Alligator mississippiensis: one gene and its partner. The protein of the gene in region 2 interacts with the protein of the main gene of each other region in a pairwise test. Links are inferred from orthologs where the notes say so. Each region holds a gene or a part of one and is shown on either strand. Other genes may lie near its edges.

The links. The genes of interacting proteins can lie anywhere in the genome.
Region 1: the proteins of FKBP1B (region 2) and RYR2 interact in binary tests that used the Homo sapiens proteins (3 or more experiments, as listed by UniProt). The link is inferred for Alligator mississippiensis from reciprocal best matches to the Homo sapiens genes FKBP1B and RYR2.

What each region holds. Positions count from the first base shown.
Region 1 is NC_081824.1:154,220,406-154,228,461, forward strand, and holds the start of RYR2 (ryanodine receptor 2), read left to right. Parts: upstream 1-4,766; 5' UTR 4,767-4,991; coding exon 4,992-5,039; intron 5,040-8,056. UniProt on the Homo sapiens protein: Cytosolic calcium-activated calcium channel that mediates the release of Ca(2+) from the sarcoplasmic reticulum into the cytosol and thereby plays a key role in triggering cardiac muscle contraction. Aberrant channel activation can lead to cardiac arrhythmia.
Region 2 is NC_081824.1:15,854,668-15,862,958, forward strand, and holds the start of FKBP1B (peptidyl-prolyl cis-trans isomerase FKBP1B), read right to left. Parts: upstream 3,295-8,291; 5' UTR 3,201-3,294; coding exon 3,164-3,200; intron 488-3,163; coding exon 440-487; intron 1-439. UniProt on the Homo sapiens protein: Has the potential to contribute to the immunosuppressive and toxic effects of FK506 and rapamycin. PPIases accelerate the folding of proteins. It catalyzes the cis-trans isomerization of proline imidic peptide bonds in oligopeptides.

The DNA.
Region 1 (8,056 bases), about 140 Mb from region 2:
CTACATCCTTGTTGCCTTCTCTTCTTCTTTTCCTCCCGCACACAATGGCCATGTCCACACGAGCGTGCTTGTACATTTGTGGCACATCAAAGGCTTTTGAGGCACAGCAAAATGTACCCTGTGCATGTGATTTGGTTCTCCGGACTTCATATTTGTAGTGCAGAGCTGACTTTAGATATGGGGAAATCCTAATGTCAAAAAAAAGTGTGCAGAAAAAAAAGTGGGATGGCACATGTGGCAGCAGCATGCACCCCCTGAAACAGGAGCCTGGTTGGTCAGAGTTACACTCTGGCTGCTGGCCAGGCTCCATGTGACTGGATTGCCACCACTGGAGGTGTAGGAGGCCTCCAGGACCCCAGGTAAGCCTTCTGGGGCTGTCCCTACCTCACCTGGAGCACTTTTCCCCAAGCTAACCCTACATGCAGGGGCATGCACCAAGGGAAAAAGCAGCAGCATGAATTTGTGCCAGTGCTTTATTCCCTGCAACAATTGCTTGTGGAGACATAGCCATGATGTTCATCCACCCTCTATACTTCTGGTATTGCCACTATCATATTTCATCATAGTAATTCGGTTTTTGGAGGCTGGTGATGATGAGAGACTCCATTCTTCAGGAGACTTTAGTGTTGCCCAAAAGTGTACTGTAATAATGTTGTAGTGCTGCTGTAGTGATGATACTCCAGAAAGTATGTGAGAAACAAGATCTGTTTGGCAACAACTTTTATTGGATTGACTGCACAGTTGGGAGAGATGTTAGAAAAGGTCTTGGACACAAAATATTCTCTTTCAACTCTACTTGATCTGAAGCCAGTAGTTAATCTAGTATTTTGAAAAAGGAGTGGGGGTGCAGATAGGGGGAAGCGGAGAGCTCAGATGCAATAAGTCTTATTGGTATTGGTGCTGTGCCAAGCATGCTGAGGAATCAAAGAAGTGTAGGACTACACCACCTCATCTTTCACAACTTCTCTTTCCTTCAAAGGTTTACTACCCCCTTCCTTTTTTATGCGGCCATTTTTATTTACATAATGAAATGGGATTAAACAAAAGTCACTGTTCTGCCTGATACTTACCTTAGGCCAAGGGTGTCAGTCACCCATGCTTTAGGCCAGATCTGGACCGTAGGGCTCTTTGCAGGCCAGATCTTCAGAACAAGCAGTGGATGCAGTGGGGTCAGTGGCCGCAGCAGGGCAGCAGTGGTCATGGAGGCAGCAGAGGTGGGGCTAGTGGCTGTGGCAACAGAGGCAGCGGTGGTGGGGCAAGTGGTAGCTTTGGCGAGGCCAGAAATGGAAGCAAGTGGCTGTGTGTCAATCGATGCGTTATAAGTTGCAGTGGTGACGGGCCAAGTATCTGTGGGGCTAATGACCCTGTGTCAACACAACCTTCATTTGCCTCACTGCTGCAGATGCCCATGTCCAATAGGGACCAAGGCCCCAGATTCTGCAACAGCCCTGCTTTCTGCTGGCTGTGCCCCAACATTTCCTGGCCTGCTAGTAGATGAATGGAGTGTCTCCATGGGTTGGATCCAGCTTGCAAGTTATCTTGCTTAGGCTATATCTGCTTTTTTCCCCAGTCCTAAAGAAGTGCACTTCAGACACAGTGGCTGCATATTCTGTACATCAGTGAACAGACGTGTGGTTTTGTGTTATAGGTCTGCATGCGGTGATGTTGAGAAGACAAAACCAGTTGTTGGTCTTAGCTAGTGTTTTCTGGCTCTTTTATGCTTCTGTTGATAATATACTAAATGCACTTTGTTAAATTAAACACTTTCTTTTCACAAGCTATTTGGAAAAAATCTTTGATGTTAGCTACTATTTTCATTTTGGCATAGTGTTTGTTAAAAAGAATGCAAAACATTTCATTCTGTTGATGACATTGTGAACGGTTTTCTATTCTTCTATTTTTTGTAAATGGTATAGTACCATAGCAGAGTTGCAGGAAGTGGGGTACTTGCCTCATTTGCTGCTCAACTTGGTGAAAGGGAATGTTCTGTATGTACTATGATTTAAGGAAGGTCCCAGTCCTGTTACACATGGGAGGAAATTTACAACCCCAAACAGTCCTAATGAATTCAGTGCAGTCATTAATGCGTGCATTTATGAGAGGGGGGCCCCTACTCATTCACTATAATGCTGCTGTTGGCCTAGAATGCATTTAAAAAGTATATGTGTTGAATGCACATACATACAGTAGGATTTCTTTCTAATGTCTCAAAACTCAAAGTCAAAAGGCAATTCTGCCAAAAACTGACTGTTCCTATGGCAGATTGCAATACCTAGATATTTTGAAGCAATTGTTATAACAATTGAGAAAATTTATTCATTAGAGTAGGAGGATAGTGAAAGAAATAAACCATTTTTATAATACTTATTAAAAATATCATTCAGTCAGAGATTAAGCCTGAAGAATATCTGTCTCAAAGGTAAAAATCTTTTGAATAGTTAGCTGCTACTTAAAACAGGAGGTTAGAATAGAAACAGTTAAGCTGTGTTAACTGTTGAGGTCATTCATATAACTCCATGGCATTCCCTATAAACCCCCAGAGGTCCTTCGCTCTTCTCACATTTTGCCTCCACATTCTTCTGTCAGAGGTATATTTTCTTTATTGCTGGTAAAGCATTGAAAGTCTGATGTTTTGCTCAGTGTTATCCCTTCATTTTCCCCTTGGTTTTCTGCAAGGTCAAACACGATAGAAATGGCTTTCCAAGATACATTTAGCTGGTCTGTCTTCTGTCACCCTAACCACATGGTCTGCCCAGTGAAGCCATTGGCATTTCCTGATTGGATCATCTGTTCACACACATTGTTCTTCCTCCCTTGCCCAAATATTCACGTTGATATTGTATTGTCAAAGGTGTTTGCTAACAAGGAAAAAAAGATGATTAAACAGCCAGGTTCCACAGCCACTTTAAACAATCAGCTTTGTAAGTGCCTCATCTATCTGAAGTTTGGTCTTTCTCAGGAGTTTTTTTTGGAACCAAAAGCTCTGCTAAGAAAAGTGGGAGGCATTGCCACTCTGTATTCATGTCTTAATTCCCACCCCCCCACCAAATTATTAGTAAGTAATGCTCCTTCATATTTAAATTGCTTAACTTATTGATACATATTTTTTATTATCAACTGCACCGCTACATAAAATAGTATATTATTCAGGTCAGCTTGCAGCCATCTCTAGGCTTCTACTTTTCAGTGAGCTTGAGTTCCATTTTCTTTCTGTTTCCTTCATGTCTCCAAACCTCCTTCAGATGCTGCCTTCAGTTTCTCCTACACTAGCCAAACTTCACCGCATCCCTCAGTTGATTCTGGCGATTAAAGTTCACCCGAAACAGAGAAGGTTGTGCAATATAAATGCACACATTCATGCTGTAATTATGTTTAAAAATAAATTAGAAGCACCCAGAAAGGGGGGTTACTTAGGGGCATGAGGCTGGGAGGAGCCTCCTGGGCCTTTGCATTCTGTATCTGGGGGCTATTGCTTGCCCAGAACCACTACTTTAGACTCTGATGCAGGACCACAAGGCACAAAACCCCTGAAATACTAAGGGGTTACACACTAATTTTGGTTGCTCCTGGAGCTCTTAACCCCTGGACTGTCTGCATGTTAACACCTTAAAGTGGTTTTAAGCACTCGTTATGTGGCTCAAAGTTACGCCAAACCAGAGCACAAAACCCCTGAATCTCCAATCTGCACTACCCAGCTCCTGTTCCATTAAGGTGTGGCCACTCCTCACAGATGTGCTGCCCAAGTTGAGTCCTGCAGTATCCCAGGATCTCTCGCACCTTCCCTGTTCATAAAGCAGGACCCCTAAAATATTTCAAATGGAGGTATGAACCAATTTGCATGGTGAGTATGGGTATTCACCACACTTTGCATTGTAAGTGTGGATATTAGGTATCATAGTCATCTTTTGCAGACCTCTTAGACATAGTCTGTGGACCACCCAGGACCAGAAGTTGAAAAACCACCGCTGTAGATTAAGGGTGTGACTGCTCCAAACTCCAGGCCAGCACCAATACCATCAACATTTTTGCAGCTCATAGCCTAAAGTATAACAAGACCCTCTAACAACAGCCTGCAAGCTCGCCTAGGTCAGAGCCGGGCAGGTGAAGGCACAGGCAGAGCAGCTGGGATTGTGGTGGCCACCTGCTCCCCACCCTGCCACCCACACATCATCCCATCTGTCTATCATCTGCCCCCACCGGCTCCTGCTAGGTGTGTTAAAAAAAAAAGTGCCTGGGGGACTTAGGAGCCTAGATCCCACTCCTAGAAGCAAGTGCTACACAGCCAAGGCCTGAAGAGCTAGGCCAGCCTCTGAGGGGAGCCAGTCTTGGGGCTCAAGAGGTGGGACAGCCTAAGGGAACAGGGTTTGGGGCTGAAGAGCCATGTTAGCCTCTGAGGGAACCTGGGTTCGGGGGCTGAAGAGGTGGGACAACTTAAGGGAACTGGACTTGAGGCTTAGGAGCTGTGACAGCCTCTGAGGGAACCTGGGTGTGGGGCCGAAGCTACAGGACAACCTCTGAGAGAGCCCAGGTTAGGGCTCAAGAGGCGGGACAGTCCGAGGAAACCGGGGTTTGGGGATGAATAGGCAGGACAGCCCGAGGGAGCCGGGCTCGTGCGGGCCCCGGGGGAGCTGGGCAGCCGCCCCTGCGCCCGGCGCGGAGCCAAGAGGCCGGCTGTGCGCCGAGCGGCCGGCAAGGGGCGCCGGCCCGCAGGTTTGCGCCGCAGAGCAGCCGGCTGCGGATCACCTGCAGCGGGGGGGAGCCGAGGAGCTCCTCCCTGCCCAGCTAATCGCTTCCCCCCTCTCCCTGCCTCTTCCAGGCACTGGCGCGCAGGAGGAGGAGGAGGTGGCGACTGCTGAGGCTGGGCAGAGCCGTCACCTGCTGCAGAGCGGCAGGAGCCCTCAGCCGGCCGGGCCGGGGCTGCACCCCCCTCCCTGTCTCGCGGGGCACCCAGGCAGCCGCCGCCGCCGCAGCGCCCGGGGGCCGAGGGCGCCATGGCCGAGGGGGGCGAGGGCGAGGACGAGATCCAGTTCCTGCGGACTGTAAGCGCGGCGGGGGACCCCGGGGGCGCTCATGGCAGTGGGGGCGGGAGCCTGCATTGCACTGGGCGGGGGGCATCCCCGGCGTGGAGGCTGCGAGGGTTGCACGCCCGAGCCGCCGGGGCCGGGGGCGATGCGGCGGGCTGGCAGAGCCATGTGCGCGCCGGCTCCTGCCGCCCCCGGGCAGGGCACCCACCTCCGCCCGGCCCTGCAGAGCCAGCCCCGCGCCTCCCCCTGCCAGCTGCTCGCCAAAGATGCATACAATCATGCGATCCCCCCCAGCTGCAGGTGTTGTCCTCCCAGGGGAGGGGTTGGTGCAAGGCATCCCCCCACCCTCCATCTCCCTATATCCCCCCCACACACGCACACACACATACGCACACTTCTTTTGGCTTTTAAAACCCGGGTAAGCCTGGATCAGGACCGCAGGTTCAGTTTTATTTTTGAGTGCTGCTTTTCTCCACTCTCCTGACCCCTCTTGCTAGTGCTGTGCCCATGGCCAAGCCTGGCAAGTTTTTCTCTAACCAGTTGCCCCACACAGACCCACACAGTTTGAAGCGTGGGGGGGAATCTGTCTCCACGAGACATGCATCCACACTGACACTGCTTAGACCACGTTTCTTTTTTCTTCCAAGTCCAGTCTGGTTTTCAAAACGTTTCGTGGCTTGCTTGTGTAGCAAAGCAAGAAAGGAAAAAGGAAGCCGTGTAACTGGTGCATGTTCAGATTGGGGTGGGTTTTTTTTTTTGCAGTATTGTGGAGGCTGGTTTGGATGTACCCTGTTTACTTCCAGCCGGAAACCTTCAAGAATAAAGCTGTTCCTTAAATATAGCTGAATTTACAGCAGCGTATGTTGAGCGTATGGTCATTCTGCCTCTGCTCTTCCAACATGGCAAAGCTATAAACTTTTATTTGCCTTAGGGTTATGTGGCACATAGTGTAGTACCAGCAAATATCTTAAAAAAAAAAAAAAAAAAAAAAAAAAAAGACCTCCCCTCTTCCCCCCCTTAAATCTTTCTCAGAAAGAAGATATGGCTTCACAATGTGTGTGAGTTTGGTTGTTGTTTCCTGCTGTTAAAATTTGATCTAAATATTTGGAAGACTTGTGTATTTACAGGCTTACTGCAGGTTTAAATGTTAAGCATAGCTCATGGAGATGTTGTTATCTGAATACTTAATAGGGAAACAGAAGCAGTGTGCATACTAATAGCAGGCTGCACATATAGAGTAATGTTAAACTCCAGCACTTGACAGCAGCAGCACGTTACGTAAAACAGCACTTCTGATAATGTGTGTCAGGCTGGTAATAGAGGTCTGGCAATCTCAGCATTGGATTATTGTGTAAGAATCCTTAGAATGTTTCTCTGATAATAAAAATGACCTTGAAGAAGGTAGTAAACTGGAGCAGTGGGAAATTTTTGGTGTTGGGGTTCAGACTTGAAATATAAAGGGCCTAAGATATATTTCCAGTTTCCTGTGAAGTTTGGAATTTCCCATCTAAAATTGTTTTTGTGGGGTGATTTGCCTTAATAGTTCATCCGTCTTCCCACTACCCTCTACATTTTAGTTTAACTGAATTGGGAATATTTCACTGAAGAGAGATGGAAAATCACTTGTTTTATAAAACTTTGAATGCAGTTTTTGCCTTTGTGTTCATTGTTTGAATTTGTGGACTAATCTCCCCCGGGGTCTTTTATACATGTAACTGCTTATGCAGCATTGATAAAATACTCAGTTTGCAAACTGATTATTAACTGATAATGGATGTGTATGCATTTTTTAAAGACAATTAGTCATTAGGGACAGAGGGATACTCTAACGCTTTGGTAGATAAAACATTCTTTCACTTAAGGACCCCAATCTATGATCTTGGGGGGGGGGGAAATGTTTTATGATGTTCATTTGGGGCTAACTGTGAGAAATACTACATTTAAACTGCCATTCTTTGCACATGCTGTTCTCTATAGGTTCTACTAAACTCCTGGGAAAGGCTGTTTTTTCAACTGGGGTTGGAAAGATATATTTATTGTAGCATGGGAATTTATTATGTGCAAGTAATTTTTCACGTTAAAATTTTAATATTTATTTACATTTAACTATTAAGCAGTTTATATACAGTTTATTTTTAGAGTGTGTGCCTTTCTACACCCTGCTGTGTCTAGTTTTCTCTCTCTCGCTTGTTTGGTGCCTTTTTTGGCCAAGATGGCTGAATGCAAGCCCTCCTGCAAATCTGCTTCTCTTGTGGATTTTGTGTTTCTTTTGGCAACTAGCTGATTCTGATAAATCACCTTTGAAGAGGTAGCTGTAACTTCTTGTTTCTTTAGGTCTTTGGAAGCAGCAAGCCTTTTTTTTCCAAGTATTCTTGCAATGTGGGCTGGAATGCTGTTTCTGTCCCATTAGGCTAGCCCAAAGGAAATGTTCAGGAGTCCTATAAATTTTGCACCTTAGTATGGACAGAATTCAGGCTCATTACGTTGCTGAATATTCCATTTGGAAATACTCTTATACAAGAGAGATCATTTTTGTGCCAAGCACCAGATGCCATGTACTGGCTTCCCCCTGAAATGCAGGCATGGGGGTGGAAGTGACTAGGAGGCTCTTGTAGCTCCTCCCTGCAAATGCAAGTACCTTCTTGGTGCATTTTTTATATTAAGAAAGAAAAGAGAATGTAGTGTACAGATTAAAACATCTGCAAGCAAAACTATAAATTGGTTATAATTCCTATATGAATGACATGATTTTCTTTTACTTGGACATATCATTTGGCTGCAGCAAAATCAATTCAGGCTTTCAGGGAGGGAGAACAGAAAATCCTTTAGGCAGATTCTTTCCATAATAGATATATGGAAAGTCTTATTTTCCTTGGGAAACCCCTCATAGGAAAGACCTTTGTGTGGACCATGTCTGTTACCTGACAGTGGACTTAAATCAGTCTCAAACTTTCAAGAGACACTAGGTAATTTTATGCTTTTTATCGGATAAAGATGCTCTCAGACTTTCTGGCACCTCCAGAATTGGTGTG
Region 2 (8,291 bases):
CCACTATCTGGGGGATTTATGTGGACATTGCTTAGTCCTGTAACTGCCACAGAAATACACAGGATAGTTGGTTTCACAACATGCAAAATCAAAAGAAAGACTATCAAACAGATCATTAATAATGTCAGGGTCTGAGGTTGGAGAGATACATGCCCTGATTATTCACTGTGCTACACATTTTGCATTTGACTTCACTGCCTGTTGTAGTAGAGTGAGCTGTACAATCTTAATTTAGAACACTTAATAGGAAGTGCCCATAGGTATTGTAGTTCCAACTGCTTGTAGGGAGCCACGCCTCCAGAAGATTCATCAGAAAAGTATCAACAATGAAACAAAGGGCTAAAGAGGGGCAGGGGAAGAAAAAAAAAATCCAATTTGAAATGACCAGTAACTCCTAAAATGCAAGACAGTTTGGACAGAACATACAGAACATGCTTACCTGTGTAGTGTACCACACATGTCTGACCCTTCTTTGGAAATGTCCTCCCTGTTGAAAACATAAAATCTAATTAAAAAAAAAATCTTTGGTAGCATGCCTGCTCACGATCAGCTTTTAGAATGAATGGGACGAAGAGGCTAGGCTGGGGACTAAATCCAGGGCTGGTTTAGGTCTGAGTGACATTTTATCCAAACGGCCAATATCCAGAAGGGAGATAGGTAACTATAGCTTAGGAGAGAGAGTTCCCGTTATGATCCATGTTTAGTTTTGGGAATAATACTAATATTTTCTCATAATATTGCCTTTTCCTTTCATACAAGGATACCATATTTTACACTTACTGTAACATTAGATGTTCCCCATCAATGGACTATATCCTGCTGTTGCAAGGGGAGTCTCAAAAAGCATAATGGATAGATCATGTTCTTAAATTTCTCTGAGCCATTTTGCTGTCATTCACAAACAAAATCAAACTCTGGGATAGTGGTAAAGTTCGCTGTTAGTATTCATAATTCAAATGCCATATATTTAACATTACTTTCATGAGAACACATGCAATTAGTAAATGGGAAAGCTTCCCAAAAATCCTCTCTCATACAATACAAATGCATTTTTTAAATTGGCAACCTTGAGGCACTGATATCCTGAAGGGAGCTCTTGAAAGCCCCTCTGTAACAATGGTTATTTTGCCCCTTGTTCTGACACTAGGCATAAGAGAGTGTTTGAATAAAACACTTGCCATTGTTGAGAGTTACTCATCTACCCTAGGTTCTGCCAGCAGGCTTGGACAGGCATACAAAGCTGCAGGGAAATTTTCCAGGACACATCCAAAACTTCCAAGTAGCAGCAGATTAAAACAGATACCACTGATTTGCAGAACTGAGTTGGCAGGCACAGGACCCAGGCTCAGCAGAACTGATCTGCAGTATATGGGATGGGATGTACTAGTGGAGAAACAACCCAAGCAGGAGCTTCAGAAGTTGGATATTAAGGCAGGATCCTGCGCCAACCTCCATGATGGCCTTCTGTTGTCTCTTCCGTCTGAGTTTCGTGTGCTACCACAGCATGCTTTATTATCAGGTATGATCTGAGACGGACAGTTGTACACCAGAAACAAATAGTAGGAGGAGGGCAGCAGAAACGGTACGCAAGTCAAGCACAGATTCCTAATATATAGCCATCAGTAGTGAAGAGGTTTCCAAACCTTTTACAAACTGCCTACTCTGTTTAGACTGGAAAATGGCAGCGACTGCTTCTTATGATACATTTGTATAACACCGAGAACAATGGGGCTGGTAGCTAGCCATAGCTAATGCTACTGCCACCCACAACAGGCCCCAGGCAAAGGATATGCTATTAGATTCAGAACTAAATGAGAAGGAATATGGCACCATTCATCTTTGACCTAATTTCCACTTTAGTAAAAGTAGGTGTTATGCTAAGAAATTCAATGGACCTGTATCAGTTTGCATGAGGGCTGAATTAGACCCAAGGAAGCCAAGACCACTGACTACAGCAGAATGACTGTCGAATAGATCTGGGGCAACAGTACATACTAATTGTGGTTTGATGACACTGTTCAAATCAAGCAGTTTAGATGAAGATTTACAAACCAAAGAAAAGATATTTATAACCTTAATTTGAACAGCATCTCCCATAGTTAGCACATCTCTGTATACTGCACAGGTAAATAATACAATTCCAAGACTAAATTCTATCCTCAGCACCACTTACAATAGCTGCCCTTCTTCCATGTATGGAGATCCCCCAAATTTAGGGCAAATGGGAGCATCATTTGGCCCTCAAAGCTAAACAAAGCAGCAGAAGAAGAAAATGAAGAGTAGAAAAAAGCTCGAGCCAAGAAAGGTAATCCAAGGATGAAGCTGGCCCCTTCATACAGCTGTATATTAGCGATGGTATTTATCTTCAGAGGTAGTATGGTGACGCTACCAGCCCAGAGCAGAGCAGCCCTGACTTGGTTGTGAAAAAGTGATCTCATAAGCTAAGATTCACGTTCAGTCTAAACTTGAGCTGCCCATTGCAAACCTGGGAGAAATGGTCAGGCCTGTCAAAATGCTGCTGCTGCGCCAAACATTGCTGCCATACCCAGCCAACGGCTCATGAAAAACTTTGGAAACACATTTGGGAAACTCTGGGAGCCTGCACGTGAAAGGCTCGCTTCGACCACAGCTACTTGCACGACTGCAATCGTGTCTCACGTTCATTCCCACGCTCTCCCCACAGGAGTCAACTGTAACGTGGAAAAGTGTAACGTGGGAACAGGAGTGGTGTCAGCAGACAAGTGCCCTACAAGCTGTCTTGCTGCTGCTGCCCCAAGGATGCCTCCACCAGGATGGGCTTGGGAAGCCAGCCGGCGCTCGCTGCTGCCTGGGGGCTCCCGCACGTTGAGCGGGGAAGCGCGCTGCGCTAGCATTTGCTCTCGTTACCCCCGTGCATGACTTCACCACACTTGGATTTATGCAGCTGTCAGCAAATGCCATTTAGACAGCCCGGCCCTCTGGCCACGCAAGGGGCAGCCGCCCGCTCGCACCCACAGACCCTGCCACAGCCACGCCAGGGATGCGCCCACCCACCTGCTCCCCTGCAGCCCCTGACCGCTGCGGCTCTCCTCTCGCCAGCGGATGCCCCCCCCCGCTCCAAGTGCTCGCAGCCCCTCTGATCCCACGTCCTGCCCCTGCCCCTGCCCCTGCCCCTGCACGGTACCGTCTCCCGGGGAGATGGTCTCCACATCCACGCCCATGGCCACCGCCGCCGCCGCCGCCGCTGCAGAGCCCGAGCCCGAGCGCCTCGTCCCCGGCGCGGCTGCCCCGACTGAGCGCCAGCCCCGGCCCCGCCGCCGTCACCGCCGCAGCCAGTGCCTCCCCCGCCAGCGCGGGGCGGTCCCGGGCTCAGGGGGGCGGGCGCCTGCTGCTGCTGCTGCTGCTGCTGCTGCGGCCGCGGCCCCGGCCCCGGCCCCGGCCTCTGCCCGCGCCCGCGTCGGGGTGCCGGGGCAGGAGCGGCGCCCCGCAGCCCCTCGGCAGCTTCCCGCGGCCGCAGCCCGGCCGGGTCCAGGCGGTGGGAAAGGGGGGACCCTCCAGGACAGCCCGGGGGTCACCAGGCACGTTGGCGCTGTGTGCCATGGGCACGTTGCCACTCCAGAAGCCCCCCGGAGTAGATTCAAATCGAGGTGGCGACCCTAAGCCAGCTCGGATCACCAGCCCCACTGCAGCTTTTCAGAGCCGCAGCCTGGGCTGATCCGGGCTTTGGGAAAGCGGGGCGCAGAGGGCAAGGTGCATCCTTCCCAGAGGAGTGGTGGGCGCTCAACCTTTTTTTGTGCCAGGGCCCATTTGCAAATACTGACGGCCAGTCCCGACCCAGGGCCCCTCACTCCTCAACCCCTGCCCCCAGGTCCCAACTCCAGAGTTCAAATTACTGGGGAGCTCTGCCCCCCCCCCCCCCATCAGAGACGAGAGCCCCTTTGTAAGATTTGAAAATCATAACCTGGAGGATCTCCAATTTTATTAGGGCATCATGATGTGCAGGCCTATCTTTTGCAGACCCCCACAAAAGTCAAAGCGTGATTTGAACCCTGCCCAGCCCCCAAGTGTATGGGGTACAGGGTGGGTGTGAGGGACAGGCAGGGGGCCTGAAAAGCCTCAAGCAGCCCCTAGAACACGGCACAGGCCTTTGCCCAGTTTAGCCACAAGCTTTATGATGGGCTAGGCGCCTCGGGCAGGATGGTTCGCTGCCAGACTGAAGTGAAGTGAAAACAAACAGAACTCCACTGAAACCAGTGGGGCCCCCCAAGGCTCTGTCCTAGGACCTATACTATTTAACATCTTCATCAATCATGTGGACATAGGTGTCAGAAGCAGACTGGCCAAGTTTGCTGATGACACCAAACTCTGGGGTAAAGCATCCACACCAGAAGACAGGCGGGTGATCCAGGCAGACCTTGACAGGCTCAGCAAATGGGCAGATGAGAATCTGATGGTGTTTAACACCGAAAAATGTAAGGTTCTCCACCTTGGGAGGAAACACCTGCAGCATCCTGATAGGCTCGGCAGTGCTACACTGGCTAGCACTACAGACAAAAGGGACTTGGGGGTCATGATTGACCACAAGATGAATATGAGCCTTCAGTGTGATGCTGTGGCTAGTAAAGTGAGCAAAAAGCTGGCTTGCATCCATAGATGCTTCTCAAGCAAATCCCAGGATGTCAACCTCCCATTGTACTCAGTCTTGGTGAGGCTGCAGCTGGAGTTCTTCATCCAGTTTTGGGCTCCACAATTCAAAAAGGATGTGGAGAAGCTTGAGAGAGCGCAGGGGAGAGCCACACGCATGATCAAAGACCAGGAAAACAGACCTTATGATATGAGGCCGAGAGCCATGGGACTCTTCACCCTGGAAAAGCACAGGCTCAGGGGTGATCTGGTGGCCACCTGTAAGTTTATCAGGGGTACTCACCAGGATCTGAGGGAACATCTGTTCACCAGAGTGCTCCAAGGGATGACAAGTTTGAACAGTCATAAACTCCTCAATGACCGTTTCAGGCTGGACATAAGGAAGAACTTCTTTACTGTCTGAGCCCCCAAGGTTTGGAATAGACTGCTGCCGGAGGTGGTTAAGTGCCTACCTTGAACACCTTCAAGAGACATTTAGATGTTTATCTTGCTGGGATCCTATGACCCCAGCTGACTTCCTGCCCCTGGGGGAGTGGGCTGGACTCGATGATCTTCTGAGGTCCCTTCCAGCCCTAATGTCTATGAATCTATGAAATGAGTTAGGAACAGCTGGCTGAGCTGTGGGATAGGAGCTGTGCCACCAGGAGCCCAGACAGCAGAATGGCAGAACAAAGGCTGGTTTGATCCTAGAAAGGTCAAGACCATTAAAAAAGAGAGGCTCCATAACACCCATGGAACAAAGAGTTTAGAAGGGATCAGGTAGACTGCAATGAGCTGTGAAGTCAAGGGACTCCTTTGCTGCTGCCTGAATAGAAATGCTGCTCATGCTGCCAGACAGTTGGTTTTAAACTTTGGGTGGAGCAGAAATCAAAGGGGGGTACAACTGTACCACTGCCCCCCCTGGATCTGCCTCTGCCTTGTGCTCCCGCACTGCTTCTTGATGGTGATCTCCCCTGGGCCCCCACTGCCCACTGCCCTCAGTTATTAGCCATTTCCATTGCTGATTGGAAGGGGAGAGTCAAATTGAAAGGGACAGTCACTGGGGTGGCCATGCCAAGCATGCACACATAAGGCAGAGTATTCTTTGGCAAATCTAGGATTTTGAAAGGGGGACGTAGGGGCAGATGGCCTGGTGCTTCACCATATGCAACAAAAGACATGTTTTTATCCAGGTAAGAAGAAACTAGAAGCTTTAATCTGCTAGGGGCCTAGGGCCATATTATTCAGTTTAAGATCAAAGCAAAAACACATATAATTTTATTGGCATGTGTGTTAATTTGCTATATTATTTATTCTGTATAAAAAAAATCAGCAAACTAGGCAAAAATAATGAAAAAAATGTTGTTTCTTCAGTCCTGCTGTCATTAGAACTAAATGTGCATCTCTTTTAGATTTATAAAACAAAATCTAGCCTTCTGGAGCATCTTGACAGTACATCCAGTATTTCACTGAAAGAAATTTCCACACCTCAGCCGATTTTCATGTACTTTTTTGTTTGTATGGTCTGAAACAGGCACTAATATATATTTCAAGCGTGGTAGTTCACAGAGAAAAAAAATCTGTTTTTAGTAGGCGTTTTCCCCCTATCATGTTGAATTAAAAGTTGTAAACACCGTGACAGATATGTACATACTTCAGGTACCTCTGTAGATCAGAAACACTATATTCCCTTAAGTGATTTTGTACATGAATCTCACCATTTCCATTGGCTCTGAGGGGATCATTTAACTGATCAATCTGTGTTTCCTGGCCGGTGAGTATACCAATGACATTTGAATTTTAACTGTAAGATATTTTAACTGGATTTTGTTCCCATTTACTTCAAAATTGTAGGTCTGATATTTTACTTCTGTGTTTGGTCTTGTGATGAGGCCATCTCGAGGCCGGTCCAATTGTTGGCCCACCCACCTGTCTAAGGCAGTTTACCCTGTCTTGCCTGCCACACCTTTGATGTTTCCAAAAATAGGTGTTTATAAGCAGGAGGCTGCACATTTGGTTGCCCTGATGCCAAGGGCAAAATACACAGCTCCAAACCTTCCCTTGCACCATGTCATATGCCTTGCAGATCACATCCACAAATCACTTCCAACTCCCCCGGCCCCATTGCTGGGCCACACTTGGACTCTGGCCCAAACTTTGCTTCAGATGTCTTCAGACGTCCTTGGCCACATACCCCTCACTAGGGCCTCTACTCCAGCTGTCCTACATGCAGTCCTTCAGCCCCCCACAGACCCTACTCTACATGGCTCCAGCTGCCACTACTCTGGCCAGCCTATGCACAGTCCTTCAGGCACCCACAGACCCTACTCTATGTGGCCTCTGGCTTTCTGCCCCACACTGGGCCAAACTCAGCCTCTAGCATCTCTCTTGTCCATTACTCTACCCCTCACCAGGGCCACTACTCTGCCCCTCACTGGGCTGCTGGGCCTTATACCCCATGGGCCTCAGATCCTGCTAGATAGACCTTGGCCCTGTCACAGGTCCCACTCTATGGGCCTGGACCCTGCCTCAGACCCCACTCAGTAGACCTGGGTCCTATGCTCTTCTGTCGGGGTATGCTCCCCTAGCCTTTCCCCTCCACAGGATACCCACAAGACAGCAGGGGCTGAGGCTTTTTGACACCCCATCCTTGCCTTTCACTGGGGAGGCACAGGTGTGGCATTTCCTGGGAAGTGCCCCACCACAGGCAGCCCCACCACACCATCCAACCCCAGCAGGGTGCAGTTTCAGGTCACTGCCCAGGACCAGGAACCTCCTTCCTCCCCATAGTTCCTACCCTGACCTTCAGGTGTTCTGGGAGCTGCAGGGTGGATGATGTTGCTCTTCTGGCTCCCTAGATGTCATTACCAGCTCTGCTCCTACGGCCTGGGCTTATACTGGGGCTGCCTGGCCCTTCTCCAATCTGAGGACCCTCTTGCAGTCAGATGACCACCCAATTGGGCCTAACTGCACCTGCTGGCTGCTCTATAGCCTGCTCAAGCCCCTTAAAGTGGCAGGCACCAAAGGTGCCCTGCCACAGCTCTATTCATTGATGGCTGATCTGTGCAACTGTTGTCAGTTTGCATTATATTGTAAATAGCCCTGAATCCAAACTATGCAGTGCGTTAGTATAGCAAATTACTGTAGTATTATTTTACTCCTATTGGAATCAATTGTATGTAAGATATGTCATAGCTATGTTTGTGTGATGCCCTAATTACTAAGCTATTCAGCAAAAAAAGTTGGAAGACCTTTCTCCTTCTCCTCTAGGGGCATGTCTACACAAGGTAAACTGCAGAGTTGCCTAATTAGCTCCACATTAAACATCTCAGCATCTACATGTGTGGCACTAGTAGGCCACAGGAAACTAATAAACTCTGCAGAAAGTTAGGACTTGTAAATACAAGTATTATCCTGCTGTGGAGTGTTTTCATGCACAGCAATGCATGTGTAGACACTGACCCAGCTAGCTGCGTTATAAGACTGTTTCAGTGCAGGGGCTGTCTGCCAGCCAATGCCCTGCTGAAGCACCCTCGTGCTCCAGCCAGCCCCTCTGCAGCATGGTGAGCTGGGTGAGAGCAGCTTCAGGCTGGCATGCAGACCCCCCAGGATCCCTGCCAGCCAGGGCTGCTCTGACCCAGCTCAACATGCTGTGGTCTTGGGTGCATGTGTAAATATGGTGCCCGGGT